Xenopus tropicalis: one gene and its partners. The protein of the gene in region 4 purifies or fractionates together with the protein of the main gene of each other region. This does not show direct contact. Links are inferred from orthologs where the notes say so. Each region holds a gene or a part of one and is shown on either strand. Other genes may lie near its edges.

Region 1 (4,115 bases), on a different chromosome or scaffold from region 4:
GCTTCCTTTGCTGGTCAGTTTCCTTGCATTCCACAAGTGAGTATTTCCTTATAATCATGCAGGAGGATTATGTCACGGGGCGTGCTTCTCTTATCGCGTTGGCATGACCTTTTTTGTGCCATTTCCCTAATCTCTCTCCATTCTGAAGTGTCATTCTGCTGCTCTTCATCCTGAACTTCGCATTCTACCACTCTCCATCCTGTACTGGCTCTATATTACATTGTATTTGCTCTATACTAATGTACTGATATCATACTGACTTGGTACTGGCACTGCCTTAGTAATTCTGACACTGTTCTACCTTGGCTTTGTCAAGGAATCATATCCCACCAGAGCTACTTACCTTAACTGACACCATTTTTCCTGAACTAATACTGTACGCACTTGATTTCATTCCTCTGCTGGTAGCCGGTGACGCCTTATCACATCACTACTCACACCATGGCAAAGGGCAATCCAGAGGGACCCTCAGGCAGAAAGGTCCTACTGTGTCCTTCTGTTCAAAACTTCCCGGTGTGACTCCTTTCCAGGCTCAGGACTTGCCAGCTCTGGTCACAACTAAGGATCCAGAGGTGGTTTCCAATCCCTTGGTTGCACAAGAAGTTCCTGCATAGGCTCCCACTTCCAGTCAAGAACCTCCTCCATGGGCTATTCAGCTCTCACCAGGCATCTCTAAAATAGCAGCATGCCTAGATAAGCTACTGGACAAATTGGATCGCGACTGATCCGAATCTCTACACTAAATCCCTCAAACACCCTGCATCTCATAATCCTTTAGACTGCAGCAACACTGCTTCCCTCCATGCCTCCAAATCATTGAGTGAAGGAGAAATCTCCTCGGATGACTCTGGTGACACCATCCTAAATATCCTTCAGAAGCAATTGATTCCTTAATTGCTTCAGTCATTATGTGCCTCGACAGAATGCTCCAGAATAGCATCATCCAATTGGTGTGGGACCACCCTGAGAAATGTTTCCATGCCAACTGGCATTTTTAAAGCCCTTGAAAAAAGGTCCACTCTGCAGTCCGTGGAAATATCTTTCCAAGAATACAGCCCTTCAGTCCCAGATTCCTCTTATTTTAAGGATTCTATGGACAAAAAGTTGAAAGGGTTTCTCACGTCTGCCTTCCCATCTGCCTTCACATCTGCAGGGGTATGGTAGCAGGGAGGGTGATGGGTCTTCCTCTTCTAGTGTCCTGCCTCCTGCTGGGAGATATTATACATGCTCCTTGTGTCCCACAGACGTTCTGAGAGGAAAGGATTTAACTGTATCACAAAATCCCCCACTTTTTCGTTTATTTACATAAGCCCAATAAATATTTAGCACTGATGCCAGACCAGGTTAGGGTTCCTGTTGGGGAAAAAGGATGTGTGATGGGCAAAAAGATACAGAGGTTATATTGATTAAAGGAGTTGTTCATCCTGTTAAATTAACTTTTATTATAATGTAGAGAGTGCTAATTCTAAGACAATTTGCAATTGGTCTTCATTTTTTTTTATTGTTTGTGGTTCTTGCATTATTTAGCTTCCAGTTTGGCATTTTAGTAGCTGTCTGGTTGCTAGGGCCCAATATAACCTAGTAACCAGGCAGTGGTTTGAAAGAGACAGGCATATGAATAGAAGAGCGCCTAAATAGAAAGATAAGTAATACAAAGTAAAAATAACAGCACTGTAGCCTCACAGGGCAATAGATTTTTGGCTGCTGGGGCCTGTAACCCCCTTTTGAAAGCTGGAAGGAGTCAGAAGAGGTAGGCAAATAATTCAAAATTACAAAAAAAAATGAAGACCAGTTGAAAAGTTGCAAAGAATAGGCCATTCTATAACATACTAAAAGTTAACATGAAGGTGAATCATCCCTTTAATATTACATGTGGTTACAAGAGGCTGTTCTGACCAACACTATTGTCCATGGGACAGCGGCAGGCAGAGCACCTTTATCTCTACTTGGCAAACACAAGGGCAAATAATGAAGCTGCATTTGCCTCTCCTAGGTGCTAGAGGCTGCAGTAATGGCTGCAGTAATGGCTGCTGTAATGGCTGCTGTAATGGCTGCTGTATTGGCTGCTGTATTGGCTGCTGTATTGGCTGCTGTATTGGCTGCTGTAATGGCTGCTGTAATGGCTGCTGTAATGTATCTGATGTCTTTGCATTTTGGTTTCAGGCATTGACCTCTCTGAATGTTTGCAGTATCCAGATTTCAGCGTTGTAGCGCTGTACAAAAAGGTTGTCGTTGCTTTTGGCTTCATGGTTCCAGATGTGAAATATAATGAAGCCTACATCTCATTCTTGTTTGTGCATCCTGAATGGAGGAGAGCCGGCATCGCCACATTTATGATCTACCACCTTATACAGGTAAGCAGCAATACGAGGTGTGATCCCTTTAAAGGGGTAGTTCACTTTTAGTGTGTCATTGAATTCCTTATTCCTAGCAACTTTGCAATTGGTCTACACTATTTTTTTTAAGTTATTATATTATTTGCCTTCCTCTTCTACATCTTTCAAGCTTTCACAGGGGTAACTGACCCCAGTAACCAAAAACTATTGCTTTGTGTGCTTGCCATTTTATTACTAGTTACCCTTTATTCCTTTCCTTTCTATTCAGTCCCTCTGCTATTTATATTCCAGTCTCTCATTCAAACCACTGCCTGGTTGCTAAAGTAAAGACCCTAGCAACCAGATAGCTGCTGAACTTCCAAACTGAAGAGCTGCTGAACAAAAAGCCAAATAACGGGAAAAAAAACATAGGAATTGAAAACCAATTGCAGATTGCCTCAGAATATCAGTGTCTGTCATACTAAAATAATAATTTAAAGGTGAACTACCCCTTTAATATGGCTAAACCATTTTATCTTTAATGAGGAGCAAAAAAAACCCAGCAACCACCCTTTAATGTTTGCATCTTTTCAGCTCTGTTCTGGTAACTCCTAAAATAGCTCTATACTGTGACTAGCCCTACCCACATTCCCCTGCAAGCAGTTATATGATCCAGCGCCAGAAGTACCGTTTAATTGTCATTTCATTCTTTCAGTTTCCTGCTTGCTGAACCGCCATAAACTTGCCAGCTAAAATAGCAGTTTTTCTCCACCCACCCTTTTTGCCTCTGGCCAATTTCATCATTTTCTATAGAAATAAAAAACATTTTTCTTTCTTGGCAGACTTGTATGGGGAAGGATGTCACCCTGCATGTTTCTGCCAACTCATCAGCGATGTTGCTCTACCAGAAGTTCGGATTCAAGACGCAAGAGTACATTTTGGACTTCTATGACAAATATTACCCGTTGGACAGCAAGGAATGCAAGCACGCCTTTTTCCTTAGGCTGCGGAGGTGATGGAGATACATTAACCTAAATGCCTTGTGGGATATTTGGCAGTTTATTTCAGGGCAGAAAAGCCAATTAGTCTTTTGTAAGCTGCGCCTCACACGAAATAAAAACAATGTCAAAAGAATCATCTGTGTTTGTAAGAAAGGCTGCGACATGCATGGAGTAAATGGACCCTGTAGGAGCTAACAAATATTAAAGGGGAACCGCTATTATACCACCTATCGCTGTAATCTGTTCCTTCAAAAAGTATGAATAAATACCATTTTATATGCTGAAATCCAGCTGCAAAACGTGTTTTCTCTTTCTGCGTTATTTAAAATCCTGGTAGGGGAGGAGGGTCTAAAACTTTGATATTAAAAATTGTCCACAGTTTACAGACTGCATGCAGGAAGTACTTAACCACAATGCATTGCACTGCAACGTTCCCTTCCTAATTGACATAATGTGCGCAGGGAATTGTGGGATTTGGAGGATGCAGGCCGAGGAAAGTCAACTACTGTTACATTTTTTTTATTTTTGAGTTTCAAAGTAGTCAGCCAGATCAGCAGCAGAACAGGGGGAAAGGCTTAGGGAACTGTTCCACACCATATTATTACATTACAAATCATGAAAAGGCAGCATATTTTTAATTGATTTATATTGCAAAGTTGCTTGAAACTACTTTTCAAAAAGCTTGTGTTTGGGTGGAGTTCCCCTTTAAAGGACAAGGAAACCTGAACTCACTGGGGCGGGTGCCAATATTTTATGCCAGTCTGCACAATGGACGCCTGGGAAGTACAGGTAAGATGGC
Region 2 (3,500 bases), on a different chromosome or scaffold from region 4:
TAAAGCAGAAACAAAGAGATAAAATTGTTTCATGGGTAAGATCTGGCGATTATGCCAACTTTCGCACCAGTTACAGAGAAGCACAACCTCTGCTTGGATATGCAGCTGCTTTGAGCATCTCTAATCTACAATTTAACAGAAGCTGCACTGTATAAGCTGCAAGGCACTGGTGTATAAAGGGCCAGCTTTGTGCATGTTTAGCTTCAGCCACTAGCTTCCGCAAAGACATGTAACAAACACTAATTAGACTAAGTTTAATGGAGAACTTAATACCTGTTATTTATTGTGCTTATGTTGAAAATAAATGTATAATGTCCATACAATTAAAGTGGAAATTTAGTTAAATTGGGTATGGTTATTGGTTATTGGTTAGGGATCTCATATCCAGAGGGATTAAGCAAAAAGAACTTTGTTTGGTACTTTGTGTTTACAACACCTAATAAAGATCAAATAATATAAGTTATCAATGGTCCAACCATTCTTGACGATATCTAACTGCCCATTTTTCAGATCTGATAGAAAACCTAGAAAAGACTTATGTCTAAAGACAGAGAGAGGTGTCTTTGAATCCAACATACAGGAACCTATGTGCCTGTACACACACAGTTGATAGTGCAAAGGTCAGTAATATTGCTGCAATTGATGTGTCACTGTTACTGGTATAAAGGAAGTCTCTTTTATACACTCTTTTTTTACACCTGTATCTAGCTATTAAAGTAAGATTTGTATCTGTGTGTGTAAATTGCAGGAGGGTGACTGGCAACACAAAACCCAAATGCAAAAGAGCCTGAAGTTCCGTGTCTTTGTGGATATAAACAATAAGCTGTTTTATTGTTATTTGTACAAATCAGCACCCAGCCCGGCTCCATTCCTTAACTTTTCCTTTGCACATGTTTGCTGTTGAGTGATGTGGCCTCATGACATGCCACAGCAAATCAGCTTTCACTCTGCTCTGTCACTCACATAATTCTGCGTCACTGATGCAGATCAGGGAGCCAAAGATTCTGGAGGGTGGGGAATGGGAGACTGCTTTAATTAACCATAACTCTGTAATAGTGCAACATTTTTTAAAAACTATAAATTGCCAAAATGTTTGTTTAGACTTTATATTTTTAATATTATTAACTTTTTTCATGTTTGTTCCCCTTTAAATTCTGGAGCTCTCCCACATTTGTTTTAAATCCATGTTTTTTCTTTTCTATATGTTCTCTATACACTACAACCCTGACATAAAACAAGGCTCACCAGTTTCCAAATCCACAATCCATTACTGCTTCAAGAAGTGACATTTCTTCTTGAGCTGTCCAGCTCGGATCTAGGATGGGAAAATCTGAAGTCTGGAAAACAAATCCCAAATAGTACATACATACATAAGATTCATTTAAAGAACCATCATTTATCAAAAATAATAGTCAGGGTTAGTACTGTGAATTCTTTAAAATAACACCCTATTTAAAGTGATTTTTGTGCATACATAACTAAGTGTATTCATATGGGTCTATGCCTTTTCTATGTCTAATTTTAACAGGTTTTGTTTGTACCTTTATGTCTATGGCATGCAAAGGCATGCTGACCACTAAGGTGTGCGCACGCAGAAACAGGTTGATTAAAAACACCCTTGCAGTTGCTTTTCATTGAAATCAATAGGAGAAGTTCTGCCTATGGCATACACAAATGCTGTGGGGGGGGCCACCTAGGAACACTCACTTTGATGTAAAGCATGTATTTGGCGAACATATAAGTGCGAAGACATACGGGTGATTAGTCGCCGTGACTTTTAAAAACTCTGTAGTGGCGACTACTCACAGTGATTTAGCTACTGAGTGTGATTTAGCTTGTGAAGTGCCAATTAGTCGCCCTGTGTGACACTGCTGTGAATCCATGCCACAGAATTCATGGACTAATCTGCTAAACAGGGGTATAGCTGGGGTAGCACCTAATCTAGGGGAGAGCTGTCAGTCTGTTTACATCGGTATAGTTTACTGGAAAACCATTAACCAGCAATTCACAAAAGTTGTCATAGTTGCAAGCCAAACAAATGGCCATAAAGACAGTTCCTTGGACAAAAAAAGTCTGGGCAGCGTGGCAAAACATACCGGGACCTGCACATTTCTTGGTCTCCCAGCACAGCCTTCAACAACAGGAACAGTGCCCCCAACATTTCATGACAGGGACAGAGTGGCCCCCAGCATTTCATCACAGGCACAGCATGGACCCAATAGTTCACATTTCATAACTGGGACAAAGTGGCCCAAGAATTCCATCACCATGTGGTCCCCAACATGTCAGGCACAGCGTGGTCCCCAGCATTTCATGACATACAAAGCGCAGCCCGCAACACCAGATATGTTCACCAGGAGGTGCTTAATCTCATGGATATTCAATATACACAAAGTTAATGACTAGACTGGTGCAAAATATTTTAAACTCTTTTAAAGTTGTACCTTATCTTTCAGTTATGTTTTAGTATGGCTTAGTCATTGCTATTCTGAGACAATTTAAAAATGGTCTTCTAGTTATTGTGGTTTTCAAATTATTGCCTTTATTTACCCAACAACCAGAGAACTGATTGATTCTAAAGCAAGATGTTGAGAGTCAGTGAGTGTCTTGCGCAATTCTTTCAAATATGAGCAAAGAATGTTTCAACCCTTCAGTAGTAGTATGAAAAAAAAAATTATTGCAGCATTTGGAGTGGAGGTTTAAGACTCCTTATAATTTAGGTTAAAAGATTTAAGTCTCCTTTAAGCATTTTGATTACACTTAACTCTTTCATAATTCATATTAGGCACATCAGAAAAATATATGAATGATAATTACCAGGATCTCATAGCTATGATCACTTTGGTGCTTTTTATATTCAAATCCTCTTGAGAAGCACTAGAGAATAAACAGAAAGAAACTATAGTCATGTTCAGTATGAAAACACTGGAACTGTTCATTAAAGGAACCTGTCTGGAGAGGAGCATATCAGTGAGTCAATGCAGTTCCACCCAATGGGATTTTAAAAACCAGACTGTTGGGTATCTGCCTAAAGTCAAACATCTGGTTGGTTACATGTCACATGTCTTAGACCGATCAGTCCTAGTTCAGATCTAGTAACCAAAGACGTGACATCTGTAGGAATAGGAGAGTATCTAGGTACCAACATTTCAGGCACTTTAAAATATGAATCTGTTGATAACAAGTTGTCTAATGCCAGGCAGTGTCATTCTGTGGCTACTAAAGCAAATAAAGTGCTGTCTTGTATAAAAAAGGGCATTGACTCAAGGGATGAGAACATAATTTTGCCCCTTTATAGGTCCCTGGTAAGGCCTCACCTTGAGTATGCAGTGCAGTTTTGGGCTCCAGTCCTTAAGAAGGATATTAATGAGCTGGAGAGAGTGCAGAGACGTGCAACTAAACTGGTTAAGGGGATGGAAGATTTTAACTATGAGGTGAGACTGTCAAGGTTGGGGTTGTTTTCTCTGGAAAAGAGGCGCTTGCGAGGGGACATGATTACT
Region 3 (3,802 bases), on a different chromosome or scaffold from region 4:
TTTGGAGCTTTCTGGATAATGAATCCCATACCTGTATTATATTAGCTCAACTGTGTTTATTTTGTTTTGTCAGTGGCAACGAGCAGTTACAATGAAAAAAATGCTGCAGGAGATCATCGAAAAGCAACCAAAGTTCAGTAATGTGGCGCCGCTCAAAACCAAACAGATCGTCCACTGGTGCCGCATACATGGATACACACCGCCTGATCCTGAGAGCCTGGGCAGTGATAAGGAATCCATTGAAGATGTGCTGGCTCGTATAGATAATGAGGCGGGTACGTTTATATGGGGTAATGAAATAGGTGACGTCCATTTTCCGTTGGATTCAGCCTCGTTTTTTACTCTTTCTCATCATTAAAAATATAAATATGCAAGAGTTCATTAAAATATATGTGAATTGTTACACATAAGCTAAAAAACTGGGGCCTTTTTATAGCTTTACAGACATCATTCTCTGCTCCTGACATTCTCTGCCAAAAAATGGAGGAACTAGAGAAAACGTTTAAAAAGGAAACAGAAGAGGATGTAGATGTGGATGTGCTGAGTGCCAATGAAGAACAGAGATTGCACATTAAGAAAGAGAGTGAGGCAGAGGAAGATGCAAAGCTGTACATGGTAACCAGTCCTGCTTGTGAGTTCATCAGAGATAAAGCACAGGAGGTAAGGCCTAATTCTGTGGGCTCTGCATCATGGTGTGCAGCATAAATCCTGTGTTTAGTGCCTGCTTCTCTATAGATAGATGCAGTGATGCCATTGTTGGCCTGCAGGAAAAACCTATAAATCTAGAGATGATCAGCCTATCTACGTGTACAGCATGGTCCTGTGTTGGGGTTCTTGGTTGTCTTGGATCAGTCCCTTCAACAGTTTAGGCTTGTCATTTGCTTATTTCTACTATTCAATACAAGGATGTCCAGCCTATGTCTCTTCAGTTGCCACTGCACTCTTAATCCAGAGAGCTGTAATTTGGCAGATTGAGCAATGTCCCTTCTTCTAAATTGTAGTCTGGCATGTTAAGTTGCTCTGTTTAATGTTTTTGCCCAGCCCCACTGCAAGAACTCCCCATTCAGATTTATATGGTGTATATTACACTGTTAGGCACCATTCCTTTTTTTGCTATTAAAGGAACCTTTCCATTTGTGATTGATACTGCAGAATATATGAACTTTGCACTTTTACTACATAGGTTGGCACATTGATGGCTTGGCCTTTATATAAGCAAGTAAAGTAATTTTTTTCCATGGCTTGGTCTGTTTATAGATTGGTGTTTCAGTACAACCAGTCGAAGTGCAAGACAATATTTATACATCTGCTGTCGAAGAAATGATTTTAAAGGTAAGTGTTGCATATATATATAGCACATGTATATAGAGCACTCACGGCATTATAGTGTAGAAAAAGTCAGTTTATTTAGTCATCGGAACGCGTAGATGGTATGCTGAAATAAATCACTGACTTGATTGACGCTATAGCTGTGAGTGCTTTCTACTGTTGAGTTTGATGCTTTATTTTTGTCAGCACCCAGCCGTTGCCCCGATATTGGTGAGTGCCGATTCTTTACAAGACTATATATATATATATATATATATATATATATATATATATTTATATATATATATATATATATATATATATATAATATGGCCAGTCCTACACTCACTTTTATCAGATTGATTACTGATACTGCTTCAATATACATTTAACAAATGATTGGGTTTTACCAGCAGCTTATTTGCTGTCAATGTTAAAACCCCCAAATTGTTGCCCCTTTATTGGCTCATTGGGATCACCTGACTGTAGCTTGAAAGGGTGGGAGTTACAACATTGTGCTGCCCTGCTCCTGTATAAACTATAGCAAAAGAAAGGGAAAGTTGTGCTCACCACTAAATTTCAAATCATTAGAAAAGATGTCCTCTGCACCCTCCCATAGGACATTAAAACATTCTGTGCATTAAGCTACGAAGCAATGCCCTCCCCTTTAAGCAAAGCAGGGATTGTTTGTCCATATATTGCAATATATTCAAGCTGGCCAACTACATCAAAGTCATCCCTGGTCTGGCCAGTCCTACGCTCACTTTCATCTGATTCGTTAAGAATTCTTCTGCTTCATTATACATTTAAGGTAGCAGGACATGTACAATATAATCATAGCCCTCACCTGCTTTCAAGATAGACCAGCACTTAGAAGATGATGAAAACATGTAAAACACAATGAAAACAAAGATTAGTTGTGATTTCCCAGCCATGATGGGGAGCAGGCAGAATAAGGCACACACAGGCAGCATAGGACAGGCAGAGTATGGCACACACAGGCAGCATAGGGCAGGCAGAGTACGACACACACACAGGCAGCATAGGGCAGACAGAGTATGGCACACACAGGCAGCATAGGACAGGCAGAGTATGGCACACACAGGCAGCATAGGGCAGGCAGAGTATGGCACACACAGGCAGGGTAGAGCAGGCACAGACACAGTAGGGCAGGAGACTGGGAAAACTGTCTGCCAGTTGAATACACCCCTGGTGGTTAAATCTAGACATCAGTCCATGTACAGTCCCACAGCCTGCAGTACATTGCATTGCATTCAAAATTCAATTGTTTTCCTTTTAAAGACAGTAGGTCTGTATCATTTCTCTTTCCAATAACCTATTCATGTTTCTATCTGGTTTCTTCAGGCTACAGAACAGTTTGTTAGTGACGTCCTTCGGGACGCTTTAGGAGTAGCCTATCAGATGACATCCCACAATAGGTAAGTCATCCTCTTACAAATATGTATGGAGTCACTTTTTTATTTTTCTATTATGGTCAGCTTAATCTTTCCCAGAGTTTTTACATCACATTTTATTTTGTCATCATTACCAGAGCGCCACAAGAGATCACAGTATCAAATATCCACCAAGCCATCTGTAATATTCCTATGTTTGACTTCCTCACTAACAAACACATGGCCTCATCAACTACGGAGGATGAGCAGTCCTTAAAATAAGGTGTGAAAGTGGCACAAGGAAAACTACTGACAGAGCCATCTGTTTGCCACCTAGTGGATGGAGGATTCCGAGGCTTGGACATTCTCACTGAGAAATGAAATGCAACGTCTTACAGCTAGAACCTACGCGAATTGTTTTCTTATGTAAATAATGTCGGTGTAACTGTGTGTGAGAGAACCTGTAACTATGTATTTGTTATGTGTACATGCAGATCTGTATTTATGTACATGAGTTTTTGTATTTCCCTGCATGCAATAATGCAAGGTGCAAGCTAGGCCAAAGTGAATAAAACACAAATCCCTCTAGTTAACCTACCAGCTGCAAATGTTTCATTCAATATGCAACTATTACTGTATGGTGTATATGTCACAAATACAGTTCTTCAGTTGTCTATTTGAATCTTCTTTATTCAGGAACATGGCAGGCACTTCAATTGATCACCCCAGATCAGCATAGTAAATGCATAAATAATTTATTTTAGCATTAGCCCACCCATAACATGTTGTACCTGCCACTCATATGCCACCTACAGACTTCACAATTAAAATGGCTGAAGGGTGGCTTTAATAGAGCAGTTACTGACAGCTTTATAAGCCAATATGGCACCAAAATACAGATCTAGGGACTTCACTTTGCAGCCCTGATTGTTACCCACTAATGCTATATACACAGTCCATGTTTGTGCAACTGCAAGGATGCAGTCATGCTGCACATTTTTAAATGAGCCCTAATATGTATTGGAGAGTAAATAGGTGGGAAAATGTGCCACCTGGGCAAAGAATCTGCTTCACCTCAGTACAGTAACTGACTAAAGACG
Region 4 (4,182 bases):
ATGCACCCTTTTTTCCCCCCATTTACAGAAGCCCAACTGAATGTACTTGTGAACTATCCAAGTGGCTGGCCAAACCAAAACTGTGCTAATAAAATTATGACTATGAAAATTGGCATTTTTTTTATCATTTGCATATGCTAATTAGGGTTCAAATTTGGTTCAGGATTCGGCCAACTCCTTTCTAGAAAATATGGTATTTGGATGCACTTTAGACCTATGCATCATTAGGCTAAAGAAGGAAAAATAAAACTTGTTTTTATAACTTCTTTAGTTATTTTGTCCTACTTGTGAGCCCAGCAAGCCAGATTTGGCTCTTCAATTGATTTTTAAGGCCCCAGTGAATTATCCTTTTGACTCATTTAAATATAATCCAGTCTTCAGATGTGCACTATATTTCTTATTGCTCCATTAAAGGAAGACTATACCCCCAGAATGAAGATTTAACCAACAGATAGGTCACTTAATATAATATAAACTATTAAAGAATCTCACCAAACTGTATCTGTAAATATTGCCCTAACATCCTTTCCCTTGATCCACCATTCAGTGATGGGCTGTGTGCTCCCTCAGAGATCACATGACCAGAAATAATGAAACTAACTGTAACAGGAAGAAGTGTGGGCAAAAGGCAGAACTCTGTCCATTTATTGGCTTATGTGACTAAGCATGTGTGTGCGCCTTGCCTTCTTTGTGTGCACTGTGAATACTATGATCCCAGGAGGCAGCCCGTAATTCTTAAAATGGCAATTTTCTATTTAAGAGTACCCAATAGCACATACTACTAAAAGTATATATATATTTTTTTTTTAAAAAATGGTTTATTTAGATCAGGGGTCCCCAACCTTTCTTACTCGTGAGCCACAGTCAAATGTAGAAAGACTTGGAGAGCAACAAAAGCACAATAAAAGTTCATGGAGGTGCCAAATAAGGGCTAAGATTGGCTATTAGGCAGCCTCTATGCGCACTATCAGCGTACAGGGGGCTTTATTTGGTAGGAATCTTGTTTTTATTCAGTCAAAACGTGCCCCCAAGTCAGGAATTCAAAAATGACTCCCTGGTTTGGGGGCACTGAGAGCAACATGTTGCCCACGAGCCACTGGTTGGGTATCACTGATTTAGATGAAGCAGGGCTTTACATAAGAGCTTGGTCATGCAATATATTTTTATAGAGACCTTCATTGTTTTGGGGTATAGTTTTCCTTTAAACTGAAAAAGTCAGATAGCACTGTATTAATAGTAATTTCCAGTTTCAGTATTTACTTACTTAATATTTGTGCTGTCTAGTCTAGGCTTGAAATCACTGGCAACAACAAACATCTTGGGGCCTTTTTATCATGCTGTGTAAAAAAAATGGCTACCAAACAGACCATGCACATCTGATTGCTAAGAATTGCAGCGAAAAAAATGCATATTTAGGAAACTGCATTCATTTTTAGCAAAAAAGCTCAAAACTACAGCATTAAAGGAATCAAGCTCCTTTGAAAAACTGTGTAAAACAGTGATCCTCCAGTGTTTTTTTACTTCTACAGTTGTGTAAATAGCAATGAGTGGCAGGACTCTTAAAAACAAAATATCATTATCCACCCTGCATGCTCTCTCCAGTGCTATCAAAGAGCTTTATTAAAAAGAAAAAAAAATACATAGCATTTCAATTAAGGCATTTACAAGCCGTCCTATCGACTTTGCTGCATTTTGCAAATTTTTGCCATTTAGCAAAATTTTCAGGAGGGAAACAGGACAAATATACCTATCACTAGTCCCCTACAACAAGACGAATGAAAGCACATTTTCTGTGTACCAAGAGTTAGCATGCCGGTGTAAAGGTGCACGGGCAAATTCAGGTCCTTCAGCCAAATTCAGCATCTTATCTGTCTGTGTATGGGCACCCTGACAGGCCTATCCAAACGACATCTGATGGTGCCTATGCATTCCATGTATTGGCCACCTTCCCTAGCTCCAGGGTCACTGACCCTGACAATCAGAAAGCATTTTTTGCAGACAGAAAATAGGCAGACCAGAAGCATTAATAGTTAAGAAAACCATACAAGATAAATAATGAGGCTCAGCTGAAAAGAGGCAACATTGTAAAAGTTCATTCAAAAGTGAACTCCCCTTTCAGGACTGCGCCAGTGTTTTAAACAATTGTACTTTAAAAACCCCTAAGGCACACAAGCCAACAGGCACCACTCACTACTACATGCAGCCTGATAGCCATAAAGCCCCACCGTGGTGTCTGATACAGTCCCCTGCGCCCAGAGTCCAGGTGCATTACCGCACCGCGAAAGGGCGAGGGCGCTGTTTGCTCACATGCTAGCACAAGGCATCGCCAATTCTTACTTCTCTAGCAGAACTACAGGTCCCTTTAACATTGGCTTGTGTATAGCAAATGTAATTGCTGCATTGTAGCTGCAGCTGCACGGTTGTTATATAAATGCTCCACTTTATTCACATGATGGAAGGGTTCCCCACCTACCTCCCACCCTCGCCGCCGCAAGGCGCAACCCCAGATAGCTCCCTTGGCACGGTTACCGAGAGGGGGCGGGTCTCATGGACGTCGCTCACCTTTGTGTAACCTAATCACCACCGGAAACTCTCTGCTCTCATGGCGCATCTCCACGCTGAGCCAAAGCTTGTCTTACCCCCTCCCCAGGGGAGTCAGGCCGCCGTGCACACGCACACACTGCAGGAAGCGCTGCTCTCTACACCACCGCTTCCGCTTCCCACAGGCCGCTCTCCATTTGGGCACCGCGGCGCCACCTGCCGGTGCTCGGGAGACCTTTCCAAAGCAGCGCGAATAATAACAACGAGCATGAAGAACAGCTGATGGTTTACAGGTTGGATCTCGGTGTCTAATTTTAACTGAATTTGCTTCACAGGAAAAGGATGGAGGGAAGCGAATTGAGCATGATCACTTCTAAGAACATTTTATCATCATAAGTGTAAGGGCTGGGCCAGCAATGTAATACCGAAGGCTATAAAAGGGAATAAAAACAAAGGAATAAAAATGTTTTGGTTTTTTTTGCATCTTGAAGCAAATTGATGTACTGAGACCAGTAGAATTAATAATCAATTAAACAGCCCCTAACTACTATAATCACTTTTATTCCACACCTTGAAATTCAACGTTTGTCAAATCTCCTTGGGGTTGGTCTGTATGTTTAAGCAACTGAGGATAGTGTATTTGTGCAGCATTGTAACCTTTATCCTAATGTGATGGACTGTCCAACGGGATAATACTTTTTATGGCCATAGATCTGTTTAAAGCCTCTGTAGACATCACTGTATGACATATTTTATTCTAGTCAGGCCCTGGAACATGCTGTGTAAGATATGAACAAACCAATTTCTCTTTTAACTAAGGGTAGGGTTGCCACCTCTGCTGGGTTTTAATGGATGGGGAATCCAGTGCCATATTTCCCATTGCATTGCTTTTTTTTTTTGTCACACAACTTCTGGTAAATCGCTGATAAACACACTGCAGCACTCCGATTCCATGTGAAAAGTGTTTATTGTGCCAAGAAAACCAGGCAATGTGGGCTGGTGCCTGAAATGTTGCCTGGTTTTCTTGGCACAATAAACACTTTTCACATGGAATCGGAGTGCTGCGGCGTGTTAGTTGAGTTATAGTTGAACCTAAGCAGCACTTGCACCCGACACTACAAGTGCACAGTATAGTGAAGCATTATCCATTTTTTTTGTACAACTCCTGGAAAGCCACATGGGGATTGGATGGGTGAAATTTGAACTTCATTGACAAATGAGCTCACAGAAAACTGTTAGAAGAAAGAAGATGCAGGCACCCAAGCTCTTGCCCTCCTTTCTGATGTCTGTGCCTCACTAACAGCAGGGGGGCCCAGCTCACCCAAGTAAGTGCAGCACAGCCAGGCCCCCCTGAAGATCCAAAATCCACCAGGCCCGGGACAACTATCCCCCTCCAATGGCAGCCCGGATCACACATATACAAGCCGCAAAATAAATATCATTTCATATTGCAGTTTATGAATGATTTTATGTGTTGCTATGTGTTTCTCATTTGTGTCCATTTTTATGCCATTATACTCACACTTTGCAACTACTTCTGCCACAGTAGCCACACTGTGTAAGGGTAAGGCTGTACATGGCGTATTGTCAGCCTGCAAATAAGTACAATAAAAATACTCATGCCTGCAGCCGGAATCATTG

The links.
Region 1: the proteins of zzz3 (region 4) and kat14 purify together in Homo sapiens (affinity purification with mass spectrometry; 4 studies listed by BioGRID and IntAct, with this or other methods). This does not show direct contact. The link is inferred for Xenopus tropicalis from reciprocal best matches to the Homo sapiens genes ZZZ3 and KAT14.
Region 2: the proteins of zzz3 (region 4) and tada2a purify together in Homo sapiens (affinity purification with mass spectrometry; 4 studies listed by BioGRID and IntAct, with this or other methods). This does not show direct contact. The link is inferred for Xenopus tropicalis from reciprocal best matches to the Homo sapiens genes ZZZ3 and TADA2A.
Region 3: the proteins of zzz3 (region 4) and yeats2 purify together in Homo sapiens (affinity purification with mass spectrometry; 3 studies listed by BioGRID, with this or other methods). This does not show direct contact. The link is inferred for Xenopus tropicalis from reciprocal best matches to the Homo sapiens genes ZZZ3 and YEATS2.

The regions. Positions count from the first base shown.
Region 1 is NC_030681.2:38,352,461-38,356,575, forward strand, and holds the end of kat14 (cysteine-rich protein 2-binding protein), read left to right. Parts: intron 1-2,163; coding exon 2,164-2,354; intron 2,355-3,157; coding exon 3,158-3,331; 3' UTR 3,332-3,615; downstream 3,616-4,115. UniProt on the Homo sapiens protein: Component of the ATAC complex, a complex with histone acetyltransferase activity on histones H3 and H4. May function as a scaffold for the ATAC complex to promote ATAC complex stability. Has also weak histone acetyltransferase activity toward histone H4.
Region 2 is NC_030678.2:76,073,088-76,076,587, reverse strand, and holds part of tada2a (transcriptional adapter 2-alpha), read right to left. Parts: intron 2,878-3,500; coding exon 2,818-2,877; intron 1,338-2,817; coding exon 1,246-1,337; intron 1-1,245. UniProt on the Homo sapiens protein: Component of the ATAC complex, a complex with histone acetyltransferase activity on histones H3 and H4. Required for the function of some acidic activation domains, which activate transcription from a distant site. Binds double-stranded DNA.
Region 3 is NC_030681.2:127,107,754-127,111,555, forward strand, and holds the end of yeats2 (YEATS domain-containing protein 2), read left to right. Parts: intron 1-73; coding exon 74-275; intron 276-436; coding exon 437-660; intron 661-1,257; coding exon 1,258-1,332; intron 1,333-2,673; coding exon 2,674-2,747; intron 2,748-2,860; coding exon 2,861-2,984; 3' UTR 2,985-3,302; downstream 3,303-3,802. UniProt on the Homo sapiens protein: Chromatin reader component of the ATAC complex, a complex with histone acetyltransferase activity on histones H3 and H4. YEATS2 specifically recognizes and binds histone H3 crotonylated at 'Lys-27' (H3K27cr).
Region 4 is NC_030680.2:80,371,329-80,375,510, reverse strand, and holds the start of zzz3 (ZZ-type zinc finger-containing protein 3), read right to left. Parts: upstream 2,801-4,182; 5' UTR 2,563-2,800; intron 1-2,562.